4 linked regions of the Pelodiscus sinensis genome follow. The protein of the gene in region 2 interacts with the protein of the main gene of each other region in a pairwise test. Links are inferred from orthologs where the notes say so. Each region holds a gene or a part of one and is shown on either strand. Other genes may lie near its edges.

Region 1 (6,960 bases), on a different chromosome or scaffold from region 2:
CTAGAAGCTGCTGATCCGTGTGCATGCGAGGGTTCAAAAGCACATGCCTTGGGGTTGGAAGTGGAGAGGAAGGAGGCGCTAAGGAAACCTGGAAAAACGGAGTCATCCAACCTGGAGCAATGGCTCAGTGCTGGAAAGTGAGAGACCATACGAGCCCAGACGATCTCCTGGAACCAAACCCACCAGTGGCTCGGGCCGCGGCAGACCAGGCGTTCTAGAGCCAGGCAAGGTCGCAGAACCTGCCCAGGCTGCGGATGGAGTAATACGAACATGCTCCGGAACCCCGGGTTCTAATTCTGGCTCTGACTGATTCACGAGGGGACCCCGGCAAGGCGCGTCCCTTCTCTGCCCCAGGGCCCTGTCCATGCAGCGGGAGTCCTGGGCAGTGTATTGAGATTGTTTTGTTCATGCAGGGCGCCCAGGGCCTGGCACAGGCAAGTACCCGCAGTCTCTGCTGAAAACCACCCCAACAGGACTCCACTGGGCGAGCCGGTGCCTCCGCGGCCCCGAGGGGTCGACGCTGCATGTGACTCATTTCCAAACCGTTACCGGGGCAGGGCAAAGCCCGGTGGGGGTGGCACACGCCCTCCCCTCCTTGGCCATCTGCTTTTTTGTTTTAAACAGGAGAGCGAACAGACAAGCTGTCTGCACACATTTGCCAAAGATGGCCCCGGCACTTCCAGCCCCAGTGCTGCCGGGATCCAGCTGCGCGAGGGAGCACCTTTCAGCCTGACAGGGCCCTCTCCCCCGTCAATCGCGTAGGGAAACGGCTTGCGAACGGAAAATGCCTCTTTCGCTTCAGGGTCCCCAGAGCTCCGTAAAATCTGTCAGGTGAGCACGCTGGTGTCTAAGGAGGAATCCACCAAAGGCGGCTCTGGGCCCAGGCAGCGCTTCATGAAGGACCACGGAGAAATGAACAGAAACTGGGACAGCGCAAACCCTCCCTCTTTGGGAAGCGCAGCAAGGGAGGACATCAAAGGAGAGCCGCCGGAAGGATGCAAAACCCTATTGATCTTCCCTCTGCCGTGCAGCTCCATCCTAATGGACGGCAACCCGCCGGCACGGGGTGAGCCGCCGCTCGGCAGATGGCTCCCCAGCAGGGGCGAGGCACACCCGCACACATCTGTCCCCGGCGCTGGCTGGGGAGTGGCGAGGTTTCCGGCAGATTTCTGAAAGATCTGCACAGATAAGGAGACCCACACACACGCTCTCCCTCCTCCTCACCTCCAACCAGAGCTGCTACTCCGGCTCTCCCTCCCTCACCCCCCGCCCGCGCTGTGCATCTGTCGGCTTGTTTACCTTCCTCCAGGGCGCGGTGCGGCGTGCGTGCCGGGGCTGAGCTGGGAGACCAGGATGCTGCATGCCTGGCTGCTCCACATGCTGCCCGCAGAGAGGGCTGTCTTGGAAGGGCTCCCCCCTCTGGGTCTCTGAGCCTGAGACCCGGCCGGGACACCCCACTCCTCTTCGACACAGTGAGTCTGAACAGAGCAGCAAAGGAAGCCCCCTTACAGCTCGCCCTGGCTTAGAAGCCTGCAGGGCCCATCCCAGAGCCTGTGGCCGCCTTTCTGATTTCCTTGGATTCGTTATTTTCATCACGGCCTGGCTTGTGCCTGACTCGTCCCCCGAGTCCATGCTGCGATCACAGGGCCTTTTCTCCCCCGCCGCGTTGCATTGCCACTGCTTAGACCAGGCTGTGTCCCACATCACCCCTCTCCTCCTCCCAAGCTGGGCAGGCCCTCGCCCACCGAGACAGACCAACAGAGACACAGCCGGCCCGCCCGCTGCCTGGCTCCTTGTGAGATCATTCACGCCCGCTCAGCGCACAGGATGGGCCGGGATTCTCACCCCGGCGAGATTCCAGTGCGACACGACGGAACGCGCAGCGTGACGCACCGGTGGCAAGGGGAGGCGAACCTGGCCCCGGCGGCGGCTGGGCATCTCCCTCCCTTCACATCCTGGCCCAGAGCAGTTCTCGGTTCGCTTTGGTGCAGGGGGACGGACCCGCGGCCGCGACCGCGCTGCGGAACCCTAGCGGAGACGCAAGAGACGTTAGGTGAGGTCTGAGCAGGGATGCAGAGCTGAGCTCACCAGCCACCTCGTCTCACTGTGGATTTCACAGCAGGTAACTAACACACATGAGAACAAGCCGCCCTCCCCCATGTTTGGCAGTGCGGCCATAGCCACTGCAAGCTAATGGCACAGCTGGGCCCAGAACCGCTCTGCATGCAAAGTCTCCTTCCTAGAACGATCCCTCCCGCCCACTCGAACAAGGTTTGCCCAGAGGTTCCCTTTGCCCTGCACGGCCCCATTTTGGGTGGCATCGTTTCCCGCGACCCGGGCAGAATGGAAGGCGCCACGTTAAAATGGCACCCCCTGCACAATCACGCCTGGGGCACCACGTGGGCAAGGGAGCGAGGTGCAGGGGTGGATGCAGCTGAAGGAAGAGGCTCAGCCGGGCAGGTGTGGGTGGGGCCAGGACAGTGCAGGAGCTGGGCAGGGCTGAGAGAAGGGAAGGGCTTTGTGCGGTTCCACTCACTGCTGGGGAGGAGCTTTGGGGAACTGGCAGGGGCAGGAAGAAAAAAGGAACCAGCAGCCCCTGAGAGCAGCGAGGCCAGAGAGGGAAGGACCCATCTGCTGAAGTGGGGGCCCTGAATACACAGTGGGCCTGGGTGCGGGTTCCCCTCGCAGGGCACGGAGGCCGAGTAGGGGAACGTGGCTGAGCCATGAACTGGATGCTGCATTTCCTGAGGCTGCAAGCGGATGGGGTGACCGCAAACGGCACAGGAGAGGTTGGCCGTGAGTTCATCCTCAGAGTCCTGCAGGTGGTGCCTGCCGGCAGTGAGCGGTCCCCACGGGGACGTGCCCGGCTGTAGAAGGGGGGCCTCCACACCCGGGGGAGCGTCACGACCCAGGGATCTCACCGGGGCTGTGACCCATCACCTGGGAACTGCTCACGACCAGGAAAGAGGCAGAGCCCAACACACACTCTGGGCGGGTACAAGTGAGCTGTTGGGTGGGGGAGCAGTATTCTGTCTGTAGGGTGCATTTCCCCCTTCTGCGCCTGCCTGGTGACTACAGCGGCCTGCTTACCCAACAGCAACCGCAATCCCAGCCGAGCCGGGTCTTCCCAACGTACGAGACGCACCCAACACCCTTCCTCAGTTTCTGACGAGAAGGGGAAATAACCTCGCGCTCAGCTCGAGCTGCAAACGGAAAAGCAAACACATCGAAAGTGTCAAGACAAAGAAATTGAGTCTCAGCGTCTAGTGTCTCCTCCCCTGGAATAATGAATGATAATAAAAACCAGCTCCACAGGTCTCTGTGAAGGCCTTGGCCTGACAGCGGGTGCAACTAGCTACCTCGGAAATGGACTTTCCTGGGGGCAGGGGGAATGGCCTTCACGGCCCCTTTACACCCTGCTCTGTGCCGGGGGGATTGCTAGGAACGCAGCCCCTGAGCCACCCTGGGCGGTTTCAAGGGTTATTAGCTGAGCCAGCGGCCCTGTGGAAGCCTCGCTCCTTCATTGTGGCCAGAAGCGAGTGGAGCGTGGTCCCCGCCGAGGTGGACAGACCGGGTGGGCGGGGTGACCAGCCTGCCCAGAATAGCGGCAGTGGGGCCTTGCTGCGGGGCCTGCCTGAGTTTGCAGAGCGCCTGAGACCACAGCTCCGAGGGGAACCGGCCCCTCTTCCCGCAGGCACCAACCGCGCCGCCAGCCGAGCTACGGGGAGGGCGAATGGCCAGCGCGCTGGGGGAGGCGGGCCGGGCCGGGCGCGGCCGGAGGGGTCCCCGCAGTGCTGGCCGGGAGCCGCGGAGAGTCGGCGCTGGGCGGGGGCCTGGCCCGGGCAGGTAGCGGCGGGGCCGGTCTGTGCCAGGTGCGCGCGGGGCAGACCCGAGGCTGGGAGCCGCCGGCTCCGTGCGCCCTCACCTGCGGGCGCGGAGCCGGGAGGCGGGGCGGGAGGCGGCGCTGCTCTGCCCTGCCTCCCCGCTCGCCGCCGCTCGCGCCCCGGCCGGCGCTGTCTCTCCTGCGCCTCCAAGATGAGCGGGCAGCGGCGGGGCGGCTGCCGGATCCCGCTGGTAGGTCGGGGCGGGCGCGGCGAGGGAGGCCGCTGGGGCGTGGGAGCGGGCGGGCAGCGCCCCCCAGCCGGCTCCCCGGGGCAGCCCCCGGCCCGGGCCCGGCTCGCTGCTGGGGCGCAGGGCGAGCGAGCGGCGCAAGCCGGTCCCGGCCCGGCAGCGTCCTTGGGCGCGGGGCAGGCGGGGCGTCCTAAGCCTGGCCTGGGCCGGGCCTGGAAGGGCGGCGGGGGCAGCACCCCCGTGCGCAGGGCTGGCGGGTCCCAGAGCATGGTCACCGCCCCCCCCAGGCCTTTCCCCCCGTGCTCTGCCAAAGCTGCTCGGGATCTCCCTTGGCGGGGAGGAGAGCGGTGGCTTGGCAGCCCCCCCCCCCCCCCGAAGCGGCTCCCCCCATTCGCTTGCCAGGTCTCCTGCCGGCTGAGAGCAGTGAGGGGGGGGCCGTGCTGCTCTTCACATCTGGATCTTGCCCCTCACCGGGCTCAGCTGCCCCCCCCCCCCGGTGCACAATAACAGATGCACGGCCTCTGTCCCGGCTGGGCTCTGGCCTGTCCCCTCTGTAAGCCTGGGGGTCTGTGCCCGGGAGCCCTGGGTCCATTCTGGGCAGCAGGGTGGATTGGCGGGGGCTTCGGTGGCCACAAAGTTTAGTTCGGGGGGGGGGGGGGGAGCTCTGCTGTGGACTCCCAGGCGGAGCCGGGTGGGCGCCCGCGGGCACACCGGGCAGGCTCCTTGGCGTTCTGCACAGTGACGCCGGGGCTGGTGTTGCTACCGATGTTTTGCTCTTGTTTTCGATTGACTTTCTGCTTCTCCCGGGGAGAGCTCTGGGCTGGAAGCGCAGCGTGCGGGTGGAATTGCGAGGCTGGCAGTGGCGCTGGGTTAGCGCCGGGGTAACGCCTGGCTGGCGAGCTTTGTGGGGAAGCACAAGGTGTATGTCTCAGCTGTTCCGCGTGCGACTAGCCTGCTGCTATTGATCTGCGCAGCGGTGCCGGTGCTTGGCGGCAGCGCTCTCAGCGGGGCTGGGGGTTTGGCTTGCAGTCGGTGCCTCTCAGTTCTCTCCAGCCTCGGTGTGTTGGGATGTTCCTGGGCTAGGCGCTGCCTGTTCCTGGGGGCTGCGGGTGTAATGCCTCCTCCCTAGGGGACAGGCGTTCTGCAGCTGTGATTCGGTGGTTGTTGGCAGTGACTTGGCTAGAACTGCCCCACTCCAGGAGCTGCCGTGGCTTAGCCCACTGGTAGCCTGGCCCCCCTACAGCTCAGGTGGGGTGGATTTCTAGACTGTGTGGCCCCTACCTGGGTGCAGGGAGGACAGCATGCTGGGGGAGCGGAGAGCAGTGCCCGCGGCTCGTACTGGGGACCGAGCCAACTTGGGCCTGGGTTTGAATGGCGCCTTTTTCCTACGAATAATATTGAACACCCCCGTCTCGCTGCTGTAGAACAGGCCGAGTGCCCTGTGGGCAGCTGGCATTGGAGTCCTGCTCAGCAGCGGGGAGGCGAGAACATTCCCCATGCAGCCGATGACGGGCGGGTTTGAAGGTGGCAATGGTGAGCTGCCTCGGTTTCCTCTGGGCTGCTTTGTGCCGTGTCTGTCACTGCTGCTGCCCAGAAGTTGTTAGGAATCTGCTTGTGTTGCTTTTCCCTTGGCTTCTCCTTGTAATGAATAAATAATAAAGGCTGCTCAGCACTGACGAAACGCCACAACCTGCCTCCCTACGACAGCACAAAGCACACAAGTGACAGGAGCCGCGCGCGGGGTGACGAGCCCGGAGGAGGGTTGCACGGCGTCCCAGAGAGGCGCTGGGGCTTGCTTGGGCGCGCCCGAGGTTTACACACAATGCCGACCAGTCTGTGCCCGCAGCAGCCTCGTGCAGGGCCAAGGGAAAGCTGCCTGCTCTGCTAAGAGTTACCCTGCCGGGTTTGGGAACCTTGCTCTGCTGAAGCTGCCGCTGCTGCTGATTGAGCCCAGCCGCTGCAATAGCCCGTTTGCATGAATAATGGGATCCGACAGCGTCCCCGGCAGAGGCACGACACGCTAAGTGACTGCTAACTGTTCTGTGTGCAGACAGACATACGTGTGCGAGAACACGGGCTGGCTCGCGATTGGCGTCTGACTCTTAAAAAAAACGGGCTGTCGTTTTGAATCATGCGGAGGGCGGGGGGGGAGGTCACCTTCCCCAGCGTATTTTTGCTCCTAAAGGTTGGCGGATGTTTTGGTTTGTTTTGGGGGAGGTGTCCGCTCCCTGCTGGGCGTTCCTCAGTCTCTTCTGCGTGTCCTGGTCCACCTGGCATGTCTCGGGCCGGGAGGAGAATTGTCCCACGGCGTGTCCCGGGAGGAGCGTTTTGGGCAGGCGGGTGCCAAGTGGAAGTGCTTTGGTTTTCACGAACGCCGAGCAGCCAGTTGCAAGCGAAGGCCATGCTGGCAAGAGACCGGCCCCTTGGGGTGTGGGTGCCTCCAGCCCGGCACTTGACACTGCTAAAAGAAGCCAAGACCGTTCTCTGTCCTGGGGGGCAGGTCTGCTGCGGGGGGCGAGCCATTGCAGCGTTGCGGGGCGGAGCACAAGGGCAAGGCAGACGGGCGCGTCGGAGCGGAAGCGTGTACGGCTGAGTTCTGCTCACGGTGAGACGGGCTTAGATCTGCACGTTGCACTGCCGTGAACGGATGCCACTGACCTCGTGACCCAAGATGGTCCTTGCCGCAAGCCAGCGAGCCGCTGGAGCCTCCTCCTGGGGTATTGAAACCCTGGTGCGGTTTGGGGGGGAGTGCAGACCCCGAGCTGCGGTGTGCCTGGGTCTGGCCCTTTGGCTGGGCTGCCGAGCTGCGAGTCGCGTCGCTTGCCAGCCCCTCGCAGCCAGCTGAGCGGAATGCTTGTCAGCTGTGCTGCTTTGGCTTTCGGTCTCATT
Region 2 (7,521 bases):
AGGAGGAGAGGGTGCAGGAGAGACCTGGGGGGAGACCAGGAGGAGAGGGTGCAGGAGAGACCTGGGGGGAGACCAGGAGGAGAGGGTGCAGGAGAGACCTGGGGTTGAGACCTGGAGGGAGACCTACCTGGGGGAGGGGAATTAGCAAGGGAGACCAGACCTTGAGGGAGACCCTGGCGGTTGGGAGGGGAGGGTGCCCCAAAGGAGACTCCTGGTGGGGGAGGAGTTTGGGAAGAGAGACCTAGAGGAGATCCAAGGCGGGAGTGGAAAAAGGGAGGAGACCCAGGGTAAGCCCCTCCCTGGAGGCTGGTCTCTGGGGAGACAGGGTGGATCCTGGGGAAAGCTCCTCCCAATCCGGGGGTTGTGGGAATAGTGGGGGCTGCAGGAGAGGGGAGACCCAGGTGAAGCAGAGTGGGGAGAGGTTAGGGGGGAATGCCGGAGAGCTGGGACGGGGGGCAGAAGCCATGGGCAAGGCAGGGTGGTTAAGCTGGGTCCTGCTGGGGCCTAGGGCAGGAGCTGGGAGCAAAGAGGGAACTGGGGGCAGAGGAGGGAGCAGGGCTCTGGGGGAGAGGAGGGGAGGGACCCAAATGGGTAGCTCATTCCTGGGTACTTTCTGCCTCCCATTAATCATTGTCTCCCCCTTTGCAGAGGCCTCCCCCAGCCCGCAGTGGGGAGCTGCCCTGCAGGACCCCCGGGTACTGCAGCCCCTGGCCATGGACCTGGGGCTGGTGATGCTGTTTGTGCTGCAGCACAGCCTCATGGCCACTGCGCTGGCCAAGCGCTGGACTGCCAGCTGCTTCGGGGTGCTGCAGCGATCCTTCTACGTCTTCTGCACCTCCCTGGCCCTGCAGGTACCCACTGGGGGAAGCCCTGGGCTGGGCTAGGAGGGGTTGGGAGTGAGGGGCACTGGCAGAGCTAGACTGTCAGGGGCTGCAGGTCGGGAGTGAGGGGAGCTCAAGGCAGAGGGCTGTGGGTGGGGGTTGAGGGGCACCGGAAGAACTGGGGGGATCCCAGGGTCTGGGGTAGCCAGGCTATGTGGGCACTGGCGGAGCTGGGCTAGCTGAGGGCTGTGGGTTGGGGCTGAATTAGGGCACCAGCAGAGCTGGGGGTGGGGCAGGGGGCAGGGCCAGACTAGCCAGGGGCTGCAGGTTGGGAGTGAGCGATGCTGGGGGCACTGGGCAGGGCTGGCAGGGGCTGCGGGTCAGGAGTGAGGGGCACCGACAGAGCTGGGGGGGCTAGTAGGTAATGGGGGGGCGGAGCCCAGGGCAGGGGGCTGTGGGAGGAGGTGAGGGGCACAGGCAGAGCTGGGGGGAGCCCGAGGCTGGGTCGGGACTGAGGGGCACCGGCAGAGCCATTTCAAATGGGGCTCCCCCGCAGCTGCTGATGCGGTACTGGCAGCCCGTCCGGCACGGCCCCCTGCTCTGGGACGCCTGCACGGAGCCCTGGGACACCTGGGTCCCGCTCCTCTGCTTCATCCTGCACTTCATCGCCTGGCTGGTCATCTTCAGCGTCATCCTCATCTTCGACTACGCCGAGCTCATGGGAGTCAAGCAGGTATCTCGGCCCCACGCAGCCAGGGCTGGAGAGGTGCCTGGCTCAGGAGGGGTGTGGAAAGTGACATGGAGCCTTTCCCCCTCTAGGGGGCGCCAGATCCAATGTGGCTCCGGCCTGGGGGACTAGCTGGCTGTGAAGGCGACATGGAGCCTTTCTCCTCTAGGGGGCGCCAGATCCAATGTGGCTCCAGCCTGGGGGACTGGCTGGCTGTGAAGGCGACATGGAGCCTTTCCCCTAGGGGGCGCCAGATCCAATGTGGCTCCGGCCTGGGGGACTAGCTGGCTGTGAAGGCGACATGGAGCCTTTCTCCTCTAGGGGGCGCCAGATCCAATGTGGCTCCGGCCTGGGGGACTGACTGGCTGTGAAGGTGACATGGAGCCTTTCCCCTAGGGGGCGCCAGATCCAATGTGGCTCGGGCCTGGGGGACTGGCTGGCTGTGAAGGCGACATGGAGCCTTTCTCCTCTAGGGGGCGCCAGATCCAATGTGGCTCGGGCCTGGGGGACTGGCTGGCTGTGAAGGCGACATGGAGCCTTTCTCCTCTAGGGGGCGCCAGATCCAATGTGGCTCCGGCCTGGGGGACTGGCTGGCTGTGAAGGCGACATGGAGCCTTTCTCCTCTAGGGGGCGCCAGATCCAATGTGGCTCCGGCCTGGGGGACTGGCTGGCTGTGAAGGCGACATGGAGCCTTTCCCCTAGGGGGCGCCAGCTCCAATGTGGCTCCGGCCTGGGGGACTGGCTGGCTGTGAAGGCGACATGGAGCCTTTCTCCTCTAGGGGGCGCCAGATCCAATGTGGCTCCGGCCTGGGGGACTGGCTGGCTGTGAAGGTGACATGGAGCCTTTCCCCTAGGGGGCGCCAGCTCCAATGTGGCTCCGGCCTGGGGGACTGGCTGGCTGTGAAGGCGACATGGAGCCTTTCTCCTCTAGGGGGCGCCAGATCCAATGTGGCTCCGGCCTGGGGGACTGGCTGGCTGTGAAGGCGACATGGAGCCTTTCCCCTAGGGGGCGCCAGCAGGGATCCAGCTCTGCTCTGGAGCAGGGCGTGTCTCAGCTCTGCCCTTTGCCCCTCCCCCAGGTTTATTACCACTGCCTGGGCATGGGAGACCCGCTAGCGCTGAAGTCCGTGCGAGTCCTGCGGCTCTACTCCCACCTCCGCCACCCCGTCTACCTGGAGTTCCTGCTGGTGCTGTGGGTGGTGCCTTGCCTGTCCCTGGATCGCCTCCTGCTGGCCAGCCTCTTCACCCTCTACCTGAGCTGCGGGCACGCCCTGGACCAGCAGGACTATCTCTACCTGCGCGCCCAGCTGGATAAAAAGTTCCTGGTCTTCTCCCGCGAGGAGGCTGCCTATGGGGACCTGCTGGCCCGCAACGGCCCGGCGGCTGCCAAGGAGAGCTGAGGGGCCAGGGCCTCTACCATGCACTGAGGCTCTGAGCTCAAGAGTCCTGCACTAGTTCCTGTAGAATTAGCTCCTCTGAGTGCCTAGCGTCTGCAAATGCCAAGCCAAGCCCTGCTCTAACCACTAGGCTCCACTCCCTCCCAGAGACAGCAGTTCCCAGCCCCCCCCTGCTCTAACCACTAGGCGCCAGCCTCCTTGCATCGGATTTTTAAGTTCAATCCCCAGCTCTGGGAGAGGAGTGGGGGCTAGTGGTTAGAGTAAGGCAGGCTGGGAGGCAGGTCTCCTCCATTCTGTCCCCAGCACTGGGAGGGAAGTGGGGACTAGTGGTTAGAGCAAGAAAGGGTTGGGGAGCCTGGACTCCTGGGTTCTCTTTCCCAGCTCTGGGAAAGGAGTGGGGGCTAGTGGTTAGAGCAAGAGGGGGCTGAGAGGCGGGGCGCCTGGGTTCCATCCCCAGCTCTTGAAGGGGAGTGGGATCTAATGGTCGGAGGCTTGACTTGAGGCTGGGAATCAGGACTCCTGGGTTTTACCCGGCGGCTTTACCCAGCATGTTTTGTTTCGAGCCGCACTTGTGGCTGCAGAAAGAGTCTCTGAAAGTGTGTTTTGAAACACAAAACAACGATAAATCTGTGCAGAATTCAGTCACACACTGGGGAGTGGGGCTTATTCTGGACTTGGCGAATGGCATGTCCCCTGTAGGGGGGCTCGGGCTCTGATCCAACACCAGGGTGGGGGACTGGCTGGCTCAGGAGATTGAGGACTGGGACGTGGCACCTTTCCCCTTGTGGGGGGGGGTCCCTTTTCCAACTCTCTTCCCTAGGAGCCAAAAGCCATTCCCGCCCGCCCACCATTCTGTGCCTTGTGGTTCACACTGACGGGTTCCCGGACCAGTCGTCTCCTTTGGGCACTTCACCGCCCTCTTGCTGGCGGTCTCAGCAGTGAGTAGCAGCCCGGTTGTGGGGTGGCAGGGGCTGAGGGGTGGCTCGTTCTGTGCCCAGGACCCCAGTCGCTGGGCATGAAACTAGGAGTCAGGACTCCTGGATTCTGGTCTAGCTCTGGGAGTGGAAAGGTTTAGAGCAGGGGGCTGTGAGTCAGGACTGGGGGGGTCCTATCCCTATCCCCAGCTCTGGCAGGAGATGGGGGGCCTAGGACTTAGAGCAAGTGGGCTGGGAACCAGGACTCCTGGGTTCGATTCCTGGCTCTGGCAGGGGATCCCAGTGCCTTAACCGGGACCCTTTATTTTTAAGCACCGAAGGGTTTTTTTAACATGGTCGTCTTCGCCCAAAGCTGATAAAGTATTTTTGTATTTCTGATTTTTGTGCGAGCTGAGAGAACTTTTTTTTTCCCAAAATTAAAAAAGAAAAGTCGCTGCTGCTTTTACACACTTGTCTGCCTCCTGTGTTCTCCCCCCAGCTCGGGGAGGGGAGAGGAGTCTAATGGTTAGAGCAGAGGGGTAGCAGGGGGCCAGGACTCCTGGGCTCTCTCCAGCTGTGGCAGAGGAGTGGGGTCTAGTAGTTAGAGCAGGGGGGGGCAAGGAAAAGGGGGGGCTGGGAGTCAGGATTCTTGGGTTCCTTTCCACTCTCCACTTGACATCGAGAGTCATTTGTCCTTTTCCTCTGTGTCCTTAACTGTGAAACAGACCAGAGCTCGGCAGTGCAGGGGACAGACCTGTTGCTATTCCAGAAACACGCTGCTCTGCGAACACTCAAGAGCCTGTGGCAGACAAGCCGGTCGTTGCGGTACTCCCTGCCGGAGGACGGGGTTAGTACGGGCAAACTAGCCACGGCATTGCACTATGGAACAATCCACTGAGCACACTACTGGTTTTATACCACCACTCGCCATTAGGGGGCAGTATTAGTACAGGCACACAAAACAGCGTTTCTCTTGTCTCTCCACTAGGGGGCAGTGTTAATTCAGGCACACAACACAGCGTTTCACTGTCTCCCCGCCAGGGGGCAGTGTTAATTCAGGCACACAACACAGCGTTTCACTGTCTCCCCGCCAGGGGGCAGTGTTGATACAGGCCCACTCCCGAGGGCATTTGCTCCATTAGGGGGCAGTGTTGGTACAGGCAAACTAGTGTGTTTCACTGTGTCTCTCGCCTGGGTGGTGTTGGTACAGGCGAACTAGCTATAGCAGTGGTTCCCAACCTGTGGGTCTGTGATGGTACTATAGGGGGTCCACGGAAAGTTTAGGGAAGGAAAAGAAAAGCAAGGATCGGGCCCACTAGGGGACTGGGATTTTCTGCCAGGCGATATTCACCTGGGGGTCACCGTTCATGACTGGCTGCATGCACACTGCCTCCCACCCCAATCTTGATACCCCAGGAGGCACCATCTGTCTGCCAGCTGCGCTGCTGTTTACGCTCCAGCCCTCTCCCCACTCCTAGTCCCGATCCTCTTTTTTTTTCCCCTCCTCCAGTGCTCCATGGGGCAGAAGCTGCCTTTGGCCAGGAGATTCCCCCTCACTGTATGCTCCGCAGATGGGCAGGGGCTAGAGGGGGAGGGATAGCTCAGTGGTTTGAGCATTGGCCTGCTAAACCCAGGGTTGTGAGTTCAATCCTTGTGGAGGCCATTTGGGGCAAAAATTTGTCAGGAATGGTACTTGGTCCCACTGTGAAGGCAGGGGACTGGACTCAACTGAACCCTTCAAGGTCCCTTCCAGTTCTAGGAGATAGGCATCTCCATTAATTTACCCACTAGGGGGCAATGTTGCTACAGGCTGACTAGCTATCAAATTTCACTGTCCCCCCACCAGGGGGCCATATCGGTACAGGCAAACTAGCTAGAGAGCTATACCCAAAAAAGCTCAGGATCCCATCTACATATTTTGTTTGTCATTAAGATGCAGCTAGACTATTTGTTGTTTTTCAAGTTTTTCTAGCTGTAGCATTTCACTGTCACCGCCTGTAGCAACACCGCTAACTAACTATTCCATTTTAATTTCTAGGGACTAGGGGGCGGTGTCGGGACAGGCAAACTAGCAATAGCATTTCACAGTCTCTACCTGTTGGGGGCAGTGTTGCTACAGGCAAACTAGGTACTGCATTTTAATGTCTGGGGACTAGGGGATGGTGTTGGTACAGGCAAACTCGCCTCAGCCGTCTGTTACATCTCTGCATTACGGGGGCCATGTCACTCTGTCAATGGTTTCAGGGTACCCAGGAGATGGCTAAGATTTTCAAGGGGTCTATTCCACCATTTGAAATTTTTCAGGGTGGGGCAAGGTTGAAACCCACTGCTCTCTGGCAGGGTTTCTAGTCCCTCCCAGGAGGATGGTGGGTTCGGTGTCTGTCCCCCATGGCTGCTTGTAGCCAGGCAGGCAGGGGCCTGGCAGTTCCCAGGCCTGAGGCCGGGGGCTGGGCCTATGACACAGGCCTGCCGGCATGCGTGCGTCATGCATTCCTGCTGGATTAGAGGCTGCAGACAGCTGGCGGGGAGGGAGCGGCCTTCACTAAGGCGCTTGTCTGATCTTGAAGGGTCAGGCAGGGTTAGCGCTGGAACAAGGGAGCAGAGCAGGGGCTCTGTAGGGGGCGCTGACCCCCGGCGCTCAGGGTTGATCCTGACACCCTGGTGCAGTATCGGGCCGGGCGCGGGGGAAGTTTGTAAATATCCTCATGTCCTGTTCCCACGAGGTGCGGTGGCACCGCTGCTGTCCTGGCCTAATTCCCACACAGCTTACTGTAGTCTCGCCCTACAGCCCACCGTGCTTTGCGATTGTAACTGGCCTAGGGAGCCCCCTCCTAAAATGTGGGGCTGTTACTTCTCTGTCCCTCCCCAGAGATGGCTGCATCCCAGGGGAAGGGTTTGGAATTTTTCTGTTAGCCTGCAGCAAGGTTTACATGCTAGGGGTGGGTTTTCTTGGAAGAGGTGCCCTTTGCCTCACCTGGCATGCGGGCGCCTGCCTCTCCTTGTCCTCCTTACCTCACGGAGACTTGGGGTCCCAAATGGTGCAATTCCTCAACCAGACCTCCAGGGGGTGGTGGTGTATTAAAAATCCCGCCTGTTGCTGTGCGACCCTACCAAAATAAAAGTGTCCTTCCCAGGGCTCCCTGGTGTAATCAACAACCCCCCCCCCCCCGTATGCCTGAGAGACCCTACAATAACACACAGGTCTGCACAAGGGCACCAGCATTTGTGTTGCCTTACAACAAATCAGCAAGGGAACCCTACAATAACAAATAGGGTGGTGGGGGGTGCCAGGGCAGGTCAGCCGGGAGCCAGCAACTTCTGAGATGCTGGATGAGGCTGCACATCAATCCGCTGCCATCCACCACCCCCAAGCTCTGACAGCCCAATTTCTACCCCCTAAACCACCATCTGCAACTCTCTGTACCCCTAGAACCACTGAGAAATTGCTCCCCCTGCTTTAAATCCCCTGCGCTCAGAGGTTCTAGGGACCAAGCCGAAATCCTCACATCACTGTCCCCCGATCTCTCAATGCAAATAGCTGGGCACTCCCCAGATCAGAGCCTGACCCCTAACAGCGGGGCTGGAATACTGTGTATGGGGCAGGGCTGAGAACCACCGGACTGAACTGTAAACTCTACATAAGATGGAAACCACTTCAAACC
Region 3 (7,266 bases), on a different chromosome or scaffold from region 2:
GGAGTATATGAGGCTACCCTTGGGCAATTTTTGTTTGTTGCTACCCTCTGGAATCTCTCAGGAAGAAAATGTTGGGCACCTGCCTGTTCTAGATGTATGAGATTTAGCAACAAGAAAAAGCAGGTGTGAGTTTATTACAAAAAATTCATAAATTGAAGAGCTGATCAGATTCCCAGATGATTTCAGACAATCAAATATTGGAGACCAAAGCCGCTTCCCCCACATTTGTATGTGGTCTCAAGTTGCAAACGTCTCTCTCAAATACAAATATTTAGTGAAATACTCCAGAATTAGTGGTACTGGTTGAGATGTTTGGAATCATCCTGCAAAATGTTATCTTTTCACTTAAGAAAGGGAAAACAATTCAGCAATTGCTAATGGAAATATTTTCATTTTTTGGGGTAACCCATTATTAAAAAAAGTTTAAAAATATTGAAGTTGAGGAAAGCAGAGATTGCATTATTTTAATATCTGAAATTATGTCTGATTTAAAGTTGTAGTGAATTTAAGCATATAAATTACCAGATTGCCACTCTTCCCTGGTAAAGAAAAAAAATGGCTTTAAATCTTAAATCCTGCCTGCAGCATGGAAACCCTATTTATGCTACTCCAACAACATAAATCCATGGAGAATTCATCTTGCTTTCTCCATCGCCTCCCCACAATGAGTCAGGTACAACACATGTGCCTGACTATAGTTGTAATAAACTATAATATTATCCCAACTCTACACTATTTTTGTCCCATAATCATGCAAAGAAACTAGTAACTTTGACTAGAGCTAAATCAGTGTTACATTTCTGTCAAATAGAAGTCCACACCTTCTCACATTCCCCCTCCAGACATAAAAATATTTGTATACTGCTGGAAAATCTAGACCTATAATAACTTAACAGCTTATTAGCTACCATTAAAAGTATAGCAGTAAACCTAACCCAATGACATGATTAACCTTCGTGAGAGGGTGGTATGCATGCGATTTTATGTTACTGTGTTGCAGTTAATTTGCAATAATTAGAAGCTACTATTACCACCGAAAATAAACTGAAACATTTGGCACATACACCATCTTCTCCTGGGTAATCTCACACTTCTATTATTAATAGAAACCTAACCCTAATAACACTTGCTATTTTACCATTTTAGTCTAAAGGGAAAAAACAAAACAGAGACCAGCTGGCTAAATCCATTGTTTGGTTCATAAACAAACCTACCCTATTCAATAGGGTCACTCAATAAGCTGTGAACAGTAGCTACTCCTCTCAAGCCTTAAGTAGAAGCAGAGTAACAATTATTCATGGGTATGGGGGGCACCATAAGAGAGTATATAAAAGTTCAGCCTCAGCTTCTCTGAATAATCAGAATATTATCTTCACAATTGCATAGCCCTTTGAAACTTTAAAGTTCTAAGCAACATTATCAGAAAACCATGCCACTGTTTAAGTTCTCACATTGTGCAATTATGTTTAGAGCCACTGATTTTCCTTTGTGTGTGTTTGTTTCTAAACACTTAAAAAAAAGGACACCTCAAACTTCAAGAATAGGAACAGGAAGCTTAACTTACTATTTTCAGGCCAGTCTTCTGGTCACTTCCTGTCCCACTATCATACAATTTGTAGTATATACATGCTAAGCAATCAGTAAGAAGTACCAGAGAAAGCTAACTAGTTCAGTCACTTATGAACCATGGATCATTCTGGGGTGGTTAAGGAGAATAAAATGACTTATATTCTGGATATAACGCCTATTATACATATTGCCTGGTTTTGGAATAGAATAGGAGGCCAGAACTGCTAATTAAGTTATCATTTGTTAGGTTACATAGACAGGGAGATCCTGATTTTGTTCTTCTTAGTGACAAGATTAAGAAATTACAGCTGAATACATTAAAAAAAAGATTCTAAATGGCTTTCAGCCAGATATAAACTCACCGAGCACCTTCTACACTTGTTGCTTTATTGAGAAACAGACAACAGGGCTATGTGGAAGCACACCCAGCCTTCCAAGTTCCAACACTAGCGAGTCACTACTATACAACAGCATTGTTCTCGCCTTTGCTTCTGTTGGAAAGGTCAGTGGCACTTTACCTGTGGCTCGATCACTTCCCAGAGATAGATGGAGAGGAGTTAGCTTCAATGTTTCCGTGGAGGTGTGGTTTCCAAACGTGCCACAATCTGAAGGAAACCTGAACTTGTCTAGTGTCTTACTGGCTGATGATGTTCCCAATTAAAACAACCACTTGTTATTTATTACAAAAGGGAAACTCTGCCCCCACAAAGGCACCCCACGTCCCCTTCCTTTAGTCCACTGCCACCCCTCCACCCGGCTCGGCAGCTAGCGCATCGCCTTAGTCCGATCTGGCAAAGTTCAGAGGCTGCAACTTCCCCCGAAGCGAGAGGCTCAGCTCACACCCACCCCACGCAGCCGAGAGAAGAGCGAGCTCTCCGCAGCAGGCTGAGAGACAGCAGCAAGACTCGGGGCTCCCGGGAGCGGCCGACAGCGGGGGCTTGGCGCTAAGAGCAGCGCACCCCGCCACCCCCAAGGGGACGCTGGCCAGGCAGGCTCGCGGTCCGGGCGGGCTGAACTCACCGCTCCAGGAAGATGGGCGAGGAGCTGAGTCCCCGCCGCTCGCTCCGCTCACGTCCTTCGGCTCAACGCGCCGCTGCCTCCGAGGAACCTGACAAGCCGGGTTGGGGCGCAGGTCGTTCCCCGGGGCCCTTGCGCGCCCCGCCCCGCCCCGGCTCCTCCCCCGTCCTGGCCCATTGGCCGCGGGCAGAGGCTGCGGCGGTGACCGGGCGCGCGGGATGCAGCGCTGCGGGGCACTGGGGAGGCGGCTAAGGGGGTTTCCAGGGCCCGGGCTGGGAACTAGGGGGGAGGGGGGCTCCAAGCGGCCGCCTCGGCGCAGTGGGGAAGCCCGGCGCTCAGCAGGTGGAGTGGGGGCCGGGGCTCTCCCAGGGTGTGCTGCAGAGCCGTGGATGACTTGGGGAGCGACTGGTACATCCCCCTCCTACTCTCCCCCGCAGGCTTGTTTCAGGCAGTGGCTGGCGGTGGGTCACTTCCGAGAACAGGCGGGGGGGGGGCTTTCCCCAGCTGCTAGGAAATGTGGGTGGTTCTGGTTGTAGCCAGCAGCTGGGCCTGCCATTGCCTAGTGACGGCTCCTTCCTTGCTCCCCTCTTGCGGCTGCAGAGGCCTTTTGCCAGCTGCGCAGGGGGCCAACAAACCCTGACTCGACTGGCTTGGCTCTTCTAACCCTCCTTTGTGCTAATGAGGCTAGAGCAGGCTGGGGAGCTGACTAAGGGGGGTACAGAGCAGAGGTATGGGTGAGGGACGGAAAGGGGAGAGGAGCCTCAGAGCAGAGAAGTAGCAGGTGAGTGTCAGGAGGCAGGAAGCAGTGAGAGGGAGAAGAGTAAAGTTACAGACAGTGAAGAGGAACCAGAATTCCTGGGAACCTGACTGGGTGGAGGCTATCTGATCTAGGGATGTTAGATAGTGGGTAATAGAATAGTCAACTAACCACGGGAATTCTTAGCAGTTAATTGACTAGTCTATAGTCCCCAGGGGCAGGGCCGCAGTCGGTGCTTTCCACCTCCACTCCCAGGAAGCCTCCTGCCACCCCACGCTACTTCCTATATATCAGAAGCAGCAGCGTGGGGTGCCAGGCAGGAGCTGGTCTGTGAGGGGAGCCTGTTTGAAAATCAGCTCCCCTTGCAGACCATCTACCTGCTGCCCTGCGATGCTGCCTCTGATACAGAGGTAGCAGTGTGGGGTGGCCGCAGCCCCTGTATGCGGAGGGTCTGAACTCCCATGGACAGAGGCTGCTGCGGGAGCAGTGGGGCAGTGGAGGCTGCTCTGGCATCAGTCCTTGTTCACGGGGGTCCAAGCTGCTCATGGAGAGAGTGTCTGCCTGTGATGAGCTCAGACTTCCTGTGGGCAGGGGCTGCTGCTGCGAAGGAGGGGCGGGTGGCACTGCAGAGCCAGTGCTCAAGAGAATCAGCTTTTAAGTTGGCTCCCCCCCAGCACCAGCTCCTGCTCCCCCCCCTTGTTGCCTCTGATACAGAGGCAGTGGGGGGGGGGGAATGTGAGTAGTCAACTAGATTAACTAATAAGAGTAGGTTTATTAGTTAATCAGCTAGTTGACTACTCGTTCACATCTCTAATCCGAAGTAGGAGGTACAGTGCAGAATGATACAGGAGAAGGGTGGTAAGTGATAGACTGAGAAATTGGGGAAGGAATAGAAACTGCCCCAGTGAATATCAACAATCACCAGTTGCCAAAAAAGTGGCAGACAATCAGACTACAGTTTTTGGGCCCTCTTCATGTTATAACTTGTAATGAGTTGCTGGTGTGGCTGGCTGTACACGTGGCTTCTGTTTGAACACACATAAGTTTAAAACTCTATTGTGACTGTGGTAAGTATAGTAACTGTGTTGAACTAATCCTCTTTTGCTGTGCCAGAGGCGCAAGCTGACATACATCATGCTGTAACAAGTTCATCTTTTTTGCAATGTGGACCAGACACCTTAACTAAGTTCGTATAACCAGTTTGGTTAGTCCTGCTTTACTGCTCTTTGTGAAGTACAAAGCCCACAGTATGTTGCCCCACATGTTGCTGATACTAATCAATCACTGTGCATGTTCTCCAGTTGCTTTTTCCCTTTCTGAGGTCCTGATTCAGAAAAGAATTTAAATGTGAATAGTCTCATTAGCTTAAATGGGACATCTCAGATACCTGACACAGAACATGTGCTTGTATACCTTATTGAACAGGGCCTGAAGCATTGTGGCAGAATTGTCCAGATTTTCCCAGAATTCACTAGTACAAACATGGTAGGACCAATACACAAACACAGCAAGATGGCAGAAAAAAACTGCTGGGAACTAGGAGCATCCTGAGGCCGGCTGCTGCAGCTGGCACTCCAGGCAGAAGGCGCGATTGGCACCTCTGCCTGCACGGCCATCAATGGCCGTGACATAATCACTGGGTGCGTCGGTGCCCCGTGACATCATCATCAGGCACCCGGGCCAATGGCACCCTAGGCAACTGCCTACTTTGCCTAGCCTCACGGGCCACCCCTGCTGGGAATCACCCCTGTGATTCGTAACCATTTGTCAAATCAAGATGAAAAGTGTTGCATGGACAGTGCTCCAAAAAGTTGAGGCCAAATTCAGCTGTGTGTCTATTTGTGTAATTTACCCAGTCAGAGAAGTTGTATTAACTTACTGTGCCTTAAATTGGGTCTTTACTGAAGAAATTTTCTCAGGTTTAACTTTTTTTTTTTCAGAAAATTCCAGTCAAATCTGTTCAGCCATTTTTGAGTGAACTGGCCTTCATATTATACATGCCAGCCCCGTAAAAATCCCCCTGAATTTAGCCAAGTTATAAATCTTTAAAAATTCTCAGTGCACACCTGCTCAGTATAGACTTCCTAGAGTTGAACAGCTAAAATTTATAAAGAGCCCATCCTCACTGAGCTTGCTCAAGTCTCTCACCATGCTTATTGCATACCATACTGCACATGTGCCATCCCCTCACAATTCTTACATGGCACTAGGCTACACATGTGCCATCCCCACAAAGAGTGCTCAAAGCCAGGGCTTCAGGGGCAAAACTGGATTTTCACTATGATTGCTCCAAATGGGATGGGTCCAGACAATGTCTTTCCTGTGTGTTCAGTAACCCCGCTACTTGAACCCAGGCATTGTGGAGGAGGGACCTATCTGATTTGAATGTAGAAAGGACAAAAGCTAGTCTGAGCAAAGGGAAAGGAGAAGATTGGGAGAATGAGTCCAGTGCGACCATGGGTGGAAGGTGAACATCCCCTTTGGGATGTTCCATCTACACCAGCCTAAGCTGCCACACCTCCTGGCTACCAGTCTGAGCTGAGGCTCTCCCAATTTAAGGAGAGCCTGGGTGAGGCCTTGGGGCACAGCATGGATGGGACCATGGCCTGGTTTACGGGAGGCTTAGCCTCCCCTGGGCTTTGATATCCACTGCCATGGGTGAAACTGGGACTGGAATTGAGGAGAAGCTTGGGACTATGAGCTAGAGTAGTGACAAGGGAGACAGTTGGTAAGGGAGGACAGAGATCTGACAAAGACCATAAAGGGAAAAGACTGAGACTTAGAACCAATGTGGGGGAGGTGAGGCAGACCTGACAAGGAACTGGGGTGCAGGAGGAGAACTAGGACTGACTGGGCAAAGAGAGTATGACAAAGAGCCAGGTAGGGGGAGACTAACATCTTGAGTGTGGTGCACAGGGAGCGAGACTAGGACTGAGAGCTAGTGTTGGGGAGGCTCAGATTGAGATTAGGACTGGCTGGGCAAGACAAATGGGACTGGAATGAGAAGACTGAGGAGTAGAGACTAGGATTGTAAATGGGTAACCATTACCTCAGGGCAGCCCCACAGGGCCGTTACCTCCCAGCCCACATGGGCTGGGAGTTGGAAGCCTAGCATGGTGGGAATAGTCTGTTTCAGCCCATCTGGGCTGGAGTGGCTCCCATTAATTGGTTAACCAATTAAATGTGAAGTAAAGTACAAGATTTTACATCCCTAGTAGAGACTGGGATTACATCCTATTGGCCACTCTTCTCTGGTGGGATCTCTCTCATCCTCTGCTCATCCTATGAACCCCTCTCTTTTCAGAAACTGCAGCCTCCTGTTCAAGACTTGACCCTCCAGCCAGGTCACTATGTGGTTCTCCCTTCTGGGGAGGTACATGACAAAGTCTTTCCCAGAACAAGTTGTCCCAGCAGTTCACTTTTCTTTTTCCTGGTATTTGCCACATCTCTAGGGTTGGCTGGGGAACTGGGCCCATCCTTTTCTCAAGGGCTCTCCAGTTAGCAGCACATCAGTTACTACCTTAGCTCAAGTGACTGAGGTTTATGCCATGGATATAAAGATTTCAGACATGTGGATGCACCATAAGGGTGTCCACATGATGCCACAGGATGGAATTTCTGTTTTTCAGGGTTTTTTTTAAACTAGGAGATAGTGTTTTGCCATGTAATTAAAGACTATTGCTATGAATTTAAATCTGGGGTCAAACAAAAATTGAACAGGTAACAGGTAAAATTAAACAGGTTAATTCTAGCATTTCGTAACTTTTGAGTGCTTCATTTGGAAAGATTAATATTCTTTTAATGTAGCTTTGTGTGTGTAATAACTGATACAGGCTTATAATTAATATGTTTATACTTACTTTTACAGTAAATGAGGGCATATTTTGATATGCATCATAGAATTTGAACATATAATTTAAATA
Region 4 (7,881 bases), on a different chromosome or scaffold from region 2:
TGCTACTCCTGACACCCCCCCCCACTCCACACCCCTCAGCGCCCTGCCCAGGGCCACTGCTACTCCTGACACACACCCCCACTCCACACCCCTCAGCGCCCTGCCCAGGGCCACTGCTACTCCTGACACACACCCCCACTCCACACCCCTCAGCACCCTGCCCAGGGCCACTGCTACTCCTGACACACACCCCCACTCCACACCCCTCAGCGCCCTGCCCAGGGCCACTGCTACTCCTGACACCCCCCCCACTCCACACCCCTCAGCACCCTGCCCAGGGCCACTGCTACTCCTGACACCCCCCCCCCCACTCCACACCCCTCAGCGCCCTGCCCAGGGCCACTGCTACTCCTGACACACACCCCCACTCCACACCCCTCAGCACCCTGCCCAGGGCCACTGCTACTCCTGACCCCCCCCCCCCCACTCCACACCCCTCAGCGCCCTGCCCAGGGCCACTGCTACTCCTGACACACACCCCCACTCCACACCCCTCAGCACCCTGCCCAGGGCCACTGCTACTCCTGACCCCCCCCCCCCCACTCCACACCCCTCAGCGCCCTGCCCAGGGCCACTGCTACTCCTGACACCCCCCCCCCCACTCCACACCCCTCAGCGCCCTGCCCAGGGCCACTGCTACTCCTGACACCCCCCCCCCCACTCCACACCCCTCAGCACCCTGCCCAGGGCCACTGCTACTCCTGACACACCCCCCCACTCCACACCCCTCAGCGCCCTGCCCAGGGCCACTGCTACTCCTGACCCCCCCCCCCACTCCACACCCCTCAGCACCCTGCCCAGGGCCACTGCTACTCCTGACACCCCCCCCCACTCCACACCCCTCAGCGCCCTGCCCAGGGCCACTGCTACTCCTGACACCCCCCCCCCACTCCACACCCCTCAGCACCCTGCCCAGGGCCACTGCTACTCCTGACCCCCCCACGCCACACCCCTCAGCACCCTGCCCAGGGCCACTGCTACTCCTGACCCCCCCACGCCACACCCCTCAGCGCCCTGCCCAGGGCCACTGCTACTCCTGACACCCCCCCACTCCACACCCCTCAGCGCCCTGCCCAGGGCCACTGCTACTCCTGACCCCCCCCACTCCACACCCCTCAGCGCCCTGCCCAGGGCCACTGCTACTCCTGACACCCCCCCCCACTCCACACCCCTCAGCGCCCTGCCCAGGGCCACTGCTACTCCTGACACACACCCCCACTCCACACCCCTCAGCGCCCTGCCCAGGGCCACTGCTACTCCTGACACACACCCCCACTCCACACCCCTCAGCACCCTGCCCAGGGCCACTGCTACTCCTGACACACACCCCCACTCCACACCCCTCAGCGCCCTGCCCAGGGCCACTGCTACTCCTGACACACACCCCCACTCCACACCCCTCAGCACCCTGCCCAGGGCCACTGCTACTCCTGACACCCCCCCCCCCACTCCACACCCCTCAGCACCCTGCCCAGGGCCACTGCTACTCCTGACACACACCCCCACTCCACACCCCTCAGCACCCTGCCCAGGGCCACTGCTACTCCTGACCCCCCCCCCCCACTCCACACCCCTCAGCGCCCTGCCCAGGGCCACTGCTACTCCTGACACACACCCCCACTCCACACCCCTCAGCACCCTGCCCAGGGCCACTGCTACTCCTGACCCCCCCCCCCCACTCCACACCCCTCAGCGCCCTGCCCAGGGCCACTGCTACTCCTGACACCCCCCCCCCCACTCCACACCCCTCAGCGCCCTGCCCAGGGCCACTGCTACTCCTGACACCCCCCCCCCCCACTCCACACCCCTCAGCACCCTGCCCAGGGCCACTGCTACTCCTGACACACACCCCCACTCCACACCCCTCAGCGCCCTGCCCAGGGCCACTGCTACTCCTGACCCCCCCCCCCACTCCACACCCCTCAGCACCCTGCCCAGGGCCACTGCTACTCCTGACACCCCCCCCCACTCCACACCCCTCAGCGCCCTGCCCAGGGCCACTGCTACTCCTGACACCCCCCCCCCCACTCCACACCCCTCAGCACCCTGCCCAGGGCCACTGCTACTCCTGACCCCCCCACGCCACACCCCTCAGCACCCTGCCCAGGGCCACTGCTACTCCTGACCCCCCCCCACTCCACACCCCTCAGCACCCTGCCCAGGGCCACTGCTACTCCTGACACACACCCCCACTCCACACCCCTCAGCGCCCTGCCCAGGGCCACTGCTACTCCTGACCCCCCCCCCCACTCCACACCCCTCAGCACCCTGCCCAGGGCCACTGCTACTCCTGACACCCCCCCCCACTCCACACCCCTCAGCACCCTGCCCAGGGCCACTGCTACTCCTGACACCCCCCCCCACTCCACACCCCTCAGCACCCTGCCCAGGGCCACTGCTACTCCTGACCCCCCCCCCCACTCCACACCCCTCAGCGCCCTGCCCAGGGCCACTGCTACTCCTGACACCCCCCCCCCACTCCACACCCCTCAGCACCCTGCCCAGGGCCACTGCTACTCCTGACCCCCCCACGCCACACCCCTCAGCACCCTGCCCAGGGCCACTGCTACTCCTGACCCCCCCACGCCACACCCCTCAGCACCCTGCCCAGGGCCACTGCTACTCCTGACACCCCCCCACTCCACACCCCTCAGCGCCCTGCCCAGGGCCACTGCTACTCCTGACACCCCCCCCCCCACGCCACACCCCTCAGCTTCCCCTGGCCTCCCCCGAGGGCGGGTCACCCACCCCAGAAGCGCTCCCAGGCGACGAGCGCCGAGCCCCTCACGGCCGCAGCCCGCGCTCCCGGGGGAGGCCGGCGAGGAAGGCGACCTCCGCGCATACAATGGCGGGCTACGAGCCCCGCCGGGGACGCACGGTCACCTGCCGCCGACGGGCAGGGCTCCTGTCACGGGCAGCGACACTCGCCTCGCGCCACCTCAGCCAGGCACCGTTTCCCGCCCAAGCAGGCGGCGTCTCGCGCCGCGGAGTATGCTGGGATAAATCGTGCTGCGCGCGCACCCTGCCGCGAGCCAGACAACTACAGCTCCCAGAGACCCAGCGCGAGAGGTGGGCGGTGCCTCGCCACCATTTTATTGCTAGCGGCGGCCGAGCCTAGCGCGCTGATTGGCTTGCCGTGACGTGACGCACGTATACCGCGGCCCCTCACCAATGGGGTTGTAGGCCCGGCCCCCTCGCGGTGAGTAGCAGGCGCTTAGCCAATGGGCTGCTCGGCGCTTCCCTTCCCGGCTAGGCGGCCCCGTGCTGCTTCTGGAAGGTTCCGGGTCCCGGGCCGGGATGTCGGGGGCGCTGAGCGCCACGCTGGGCGGCCTCAGCAGCGACTCCTACTGCGAGATCAGCCAGTACCGCGACCAGCACTTCCGGGTGCGCGCAGGCAGGGCCCGAGCCTGAGGGGTGGGGGCAGGTGCACAGCGCCAGGGGGCGGGGCCTGAGGGGTGGGGGCAGGGTGCACAGCGCCAGGGGGCGGGGCCTGAGGGGTGGGGGCAGGGTGCACTGCGCCAGGGGGCGGGGCCTGAGGGGTGGGGGCAGGGTGCACAGCGCCAGGGGGCGGGGCCTGAGGGGTGGGGGCAGGTGCACTGCGCCAGGGGGCGGGGCCTGAGGGGTGGGGGCAGGGTGCACAGCGCCAGGGGGCGGGGCCTGAGGGGTGGGGGCAGGGTGCACAGCGCCAGGGGGCGGGGCCTGAGGGGTGGGGGCAGGGTGCACTGCGCCAGGGGGCGGGGCCTGAGGGGTGGGGGCAGGGTGCACAGTGCCAAGGGTTGGGGGCAGGGGTGCGTAGCGGCAGCCTGAGGGGATGAGCACAGGACCGGGGGGTGGGCACATGGGTGTACAGCACCGGCGGGGGACAGGATGCACAGCGCCAGGGGGCAGGTCCTGAGGTGCTGATGGCAGCCCAGGAGATGGCAGGGTGCAGTACCCAAACCTGAGGGAGGCAGAAGTGCCCATGCCCTTTGCCATGATTGCCATCTTGCACTTCATTGCTGGAGTAGGAGGGGGAGGTTCTCAAACAGGCAGAAGTAGCAGTTTCACAACCAGTGGGTCAGGCATTCCCTGAACAGTAGGTTGCTGTTTCCATTTACTGTTTGTTGTGCTCTCAGGGTAGCCGATACCTACAGGATAAGGCCCTGAAGCTCTCTTCCACACTGTATGTGGGCAACCTGTCCTTTTACACCACTGAGGAGCAGATCCAGGAGCTCTTCTCCAAATGCGGAGATGTTAAGAGGATTGTCATGGGGTTAGACAAGGTCAAGAAAACCCCTTGTGGCTTCTGCTTCGTGGAGTATCCTTTTCCGTTTTCTGTTGCCATAATTTTTCTGCCACTGCTTTTTGATTAATCGCATCCTGGGTGGATTATATCCCCTCAGTTCTGTTGAACATCAGCATGTTACAGAGCATATCTGGCCTCTCTGGAGGAGCTGGGAATGCTCCTGTGATATGTGAGCAAACATGAAAATTGTGAGCTTTCATTCACAGTACCAAACAGTTTCCCTCCTTCACAGGGTCTGCTATTTCTCTACCATCCTGCCTCAGTCACTGACATTGCTGTGGATATAGTCATTTCTCTCATTCCCTGTATGCAGCTGGCATTGACAAGCTGAACAACACTTTGAGTCTTCCTTATAACAAATTCCAGGTATTATACAAGAGCAGATGCTGAGCATGCAATGAGGTATATCAATGGCACCCGACTGGATGATCGGATCATCAGGACTGACTGGGATGCAGGGTTTAAGGAGGGACGACAATATGGGAGAGGAAAGTCTGGAGGACAGGTAAAGAAAATACTAGCTTCAGCACTGAGCCAGCCTTCCTTGGGACTGGGTGATGGGTGGAGCTACCTTTGGCCGATCCAGTGCAAAGTAGGGATGTTAGCTGTCGGTTAATTGAATTCTTAGCGGTTAGTTGACTATTTTATAGTCCGTGGGGGGAAGGGCCGGCAGCCATGCAATCTGGCCCCACTCTGAGGGAGCCCCCTGCCACTCTGCGCTTCTGCCTCTGTATCAGAGGCAGCAGTGCAGGGTGCCAGGAGGGAGCCAGTCTGCGAGGAGAAACTGTTTAAAAACCAGCTCCCCTTGTGGGCTGGCTGCTTGCCACCCTGCACTGCTCCCTCTGATACAGAAGCAGCAGTGCAGGATTGCAACAGTCCTGTCTGCAAGGGTCCAAGCTCCCTGTGGACAGAGGCTACTGGGAGAGTAGGAGGCAGTGGAGGCTGCCCCAGAGCAATCTCTGTCTGCAGCAACCCAGGCTGGCCAGCGACAGAGGCTGCTCCAGCAGCAGCCCCTGTCCACGGGGGGCTGGGACAGAGGCAGCAGTGTGGGGTATGGGGGGCCGAAGCAGGTGGCACCAGCTCCTGCTTCTCCCTCCCCTTGCTGCTTCAGATACAGAGGCAACGGGGACAGAATGCGAGTAGCCAACTAGATTAACCGACTATTCATTCACATCCTTAGTACAAAGGCAGTCATCCATGGCAGACCCAGTAATGAACTGAAGCCAGTCTAAAATTATTTTAAGATCACTAGAGTAGGAGCATGGTACTTAATGCCTTTTGAAACTACATTCCAAGCTCCCTATGGCCCAAAACAAACCGCTTTGCTCACTTCTCAAGATAGTGTTCTCAAAAGGGTGTAGCAATCAAGGTGGGGAGTGAGAAACAGGATCATAATGGGGATGGTGTGGTTCTAAAGCTAGTTTAATCATCAAATGATGCCTATGAGAAGATTAAAATTTCTTCCCAGATTTCCAGAGGAACAAAGCTTTAGGTTCAGGCTTTGGCGATTCATAAAGATGAACTGCAAAGCAAAACCAAACAGAATTTGGCCCTTCTCTGCTGCTTCATTATGTCTAATGATGGCCCCGCCATTAGAAAAGTCAGGTCTTCCCATCAGTCTCCTTGGTAATGGTTCCTTTGCAAGGTATTTTAAGGGCTTGCAAAGGCTTGTAATCTGAGCTTCAGCCCACCACCAATGTATGCGAAGAGGGTGCCTAGCATGTCTCTGTCTAGCCAGGTGCAGATGCTGATTTGTGTTACTGCTTTGCCCCAGGTGCGAGACGAATACCGGACAGACTATGATGTGGGAAGAGGTGGCTTTGGCAAAATCATTCAGATGCAGAAAACCAATCACCAGACCGTAATCTACTAAATGACTAATCTATCCCAGTACCTAGAGGGATGGTGAGCCTCTGCAGCTAGCTCTGGCCTCACTCTTTGGATGGGGGTGTGATTGGAGCCAGGTTCCAGCAAAAGGCAATACGAGACTGGCTGTTCAACATTTGTTCATTTCTCATCTCTCCTGGGCTGGAATGGCTGATCTATTGTGATACAGGGCAGCAAGAAAATAGAGTGGCCAGCGCTGCAGAATTTCTCACTAAGAATAAGTGAGACATGTCCCGCTCAGACTTCTGCCTCCAAGTTGTCATTGCAGCTGTGGTTGCTCTCGAGCACAGATTTCTGAGAAATACAACAGCCATCAAAGCCCGCCTTTCTGCTTGTGCAGCTCTGGGACAGAGGGAGGAGTTTAAAATATGTAATTTACAATCTTGTTTGCCTCTGTAAAGCATCATTCCTGATATAAATTAGGGAAGCAAAGCAAGATCTTACTGGCCACTTGCAAGTGCTTGTCTGAACTCTGGACCCTTTGCTCAGTAAGCCCTGCAGAGCCTTAGTCTTTGCTGTATCTGTGATGCTGCCTGCTGTTGCAGAGCGTCACTATTACAATGTGGTTTTGTTTGTGTCTGGGTTTTTTAAATAAACATTAAGTCCTGTACCTGCTGCAGTTTGCGCTTCATTGCCATTGGGCATGTGGCAGGGCTTTTGGGGGACACAACCTGTTGGCATGTCGGCTGCTCTCTGACCACAGTGGGGCAGTCGTCCTGTTTGCTGTGATCTGGGTCTTCCTTTTGGTGCTGGCCTCATTTGTCTTCCCATTGCACTCTGTGCTAGTAGCGGGTTTGTCACCTCGTGAAATCACCAGTAAAGTTACACTTTGCTGTGTGTACTAAGATGCGAAATTAGTCCTCAGTTCCCTGCATCAGTGAATGCCAGGAAGTTTCCCCATTTTCTGCCATCGTAGTGCCAAGTCCTGTAGCATAGAGCACATGAAGCATCATGGGGCCAGACCAAGAAGCAGGAGCTGCAGGGCATACTGCTCTTTCTTGAGTCCTCCAGCTGGAGAAAGGGAAATTACCCTAGCATACAGTTCCTGTAACGCATTCCTGCATAATGAGGTGCTGTAACAGTTTCTTCTTTTGCATTAAATCACATACTTTAGCAGCTCAAGGCCTCTGAACTTCAGAGGGAAAAATGTCTGCCTCTGTCCTATTCAGTGGCAGGACACAACCAGGCCTCCAAGCACACTCTGAGTTACCCAACAGCCCTGATAACTAAGGAGTAATTGCCAGAGAAGTGCTTACACAGGCACAAACAAGGAGTCCAGTGGCTCCTTGAAAGTCTAACCATTTTATCAAGTTATAAAGTTTTTGCTTGTTGCAACTCACTTCATCAGATGCATGAAGGGAAAGAATCAGATGGTAGAGAAACAGAGATGGGAGCATTACATCAGCACTAATTCGATCAGGGTGGATGTGGCCCACTTCCAACTGTGGTAAAGTGAGAATACCCAAAGGGGAAAATTATTTTTTGTAATGACCTGTTCTGGTGGTGTCAATTTGTATATGAATTCCAGTTCAGTGGTTTCACGTTGCAGTCTGTTTTTGAAGGGGTTTGATTTGTTTGTTTGCTGAAGAATGGCAATTTTCAAATCTCTATCTGTGTCCAGGCAAATTAAAATGCTCTCCAACTGGTTTTGTATGTTATTATTTAGGGATGCAAAGGAGTAGTTGACTAGTCAACTAACTGATAAGCAT

What was found.
Region 1: the proteins of PPP1R18 (region 2) and MID2 interact in binary tests that used the Homo sapiens proteins (3 or more experiments, as listed by UniProt). The two-hybrid records come from large-scale screens. The link is inferred for Pelodiscus sinensis from reciprocal best matches to the Homo sapiens genes PPP1R18 and MID2.
Region 3: the proteins of PPP1R18 (region 2) and STX11 interact in binary tests that used the Homo sapiens proteins (3 or more experiments, as listed by UniProt). The two-hybrid records come from large-scale screens. The link is inferred for Pelodiscus sinensis from reciprocal best matches to the Homo sapiens genes PPP1R18 and STX11.
Region 4: the proteins of PPP1R18 (region 2) and TEX11 interact in binary tests that used the Homo sapiens proteins (3 or more experiments, as listed by UniProt). The two-hybrid records come from large-scale screens. The link is inferred for Pelodiscus sinensis from reciprocal best matches to the Homo sapiens genes PPP1R18 and TEX11.

Annotation. Positions count from the first base shown.
Region 1 is NC_134723.1:1,581,402-1,588,361, forward strand, and holds the start of MID2 (putative E3 ubiquitin-protein ligase MID2), read left to right. Parts: upstream 1-3,948; 5' UTR 3,949-4,074; intron 4,075-6,960. UniProt on the Homo sapiens protein: E3 ubiquitin ligase that plays a role in microtubule stabilization. Mediates the 'Lys-48'-linked polyubiquitination of LRRK2 to drive its localization to microtubules and its proteasomal degradation in neurons.
Region 2 is NC_134742.1:11,552,956-11,560,476, reverse strand, and holds the start of PPP1R18 (phostensin), read left to right. Parts: upstream 1-4,506; 5' UTR 4,507-4,706; intron 4,707-7,521. Other genes in the region: NRM (nurim), read left to right, coding at 649-851, 1,378-1,554, 2,628-2,948.
Region 3 is NC_134713.1:102,086,183-102,093,448, reverse strand, and holds the start of STX11 (syntaxin-11), read right to left. Parts: upstream 3,013-7,266; 5' UTR 2,590-3,012; intron 2,189-2,589; exon of another isoform or gene 2,175-2,188; 5' UTR 2,088-2,174; intron 2,055-2,087; exon of another isoform or gene 1,932-2,054; intron 1-1,931. UniProt on the Homo sapiens protein: SNARE that acts to regulate protein transport between late endosomes and the trans-Golgi network.
Region 4 is NW_027465980.1:262,627-270,507, reverse strand, and holds the start of TEX11 (testis-expressed protein 11), read right to left. Parts: upstream 3,015-7,881; 5' UTR 2,884-3,014; intron 2,874-2,883; exon of another isoform or gene 2,749-2,873; intron 1-2,748. Other genes in the region: nuclear cap-binding protein subunit 2, read left to right, coding at 3,298-3,384, 4,116-4,297, 4,652-4,790, 6,060-6,158. UniProt on the Homo sapiens protein: Regulator of crossing-over during meiosis. Involved in initiation and/or maintenance of chromosome synapsis and formation of crossovers.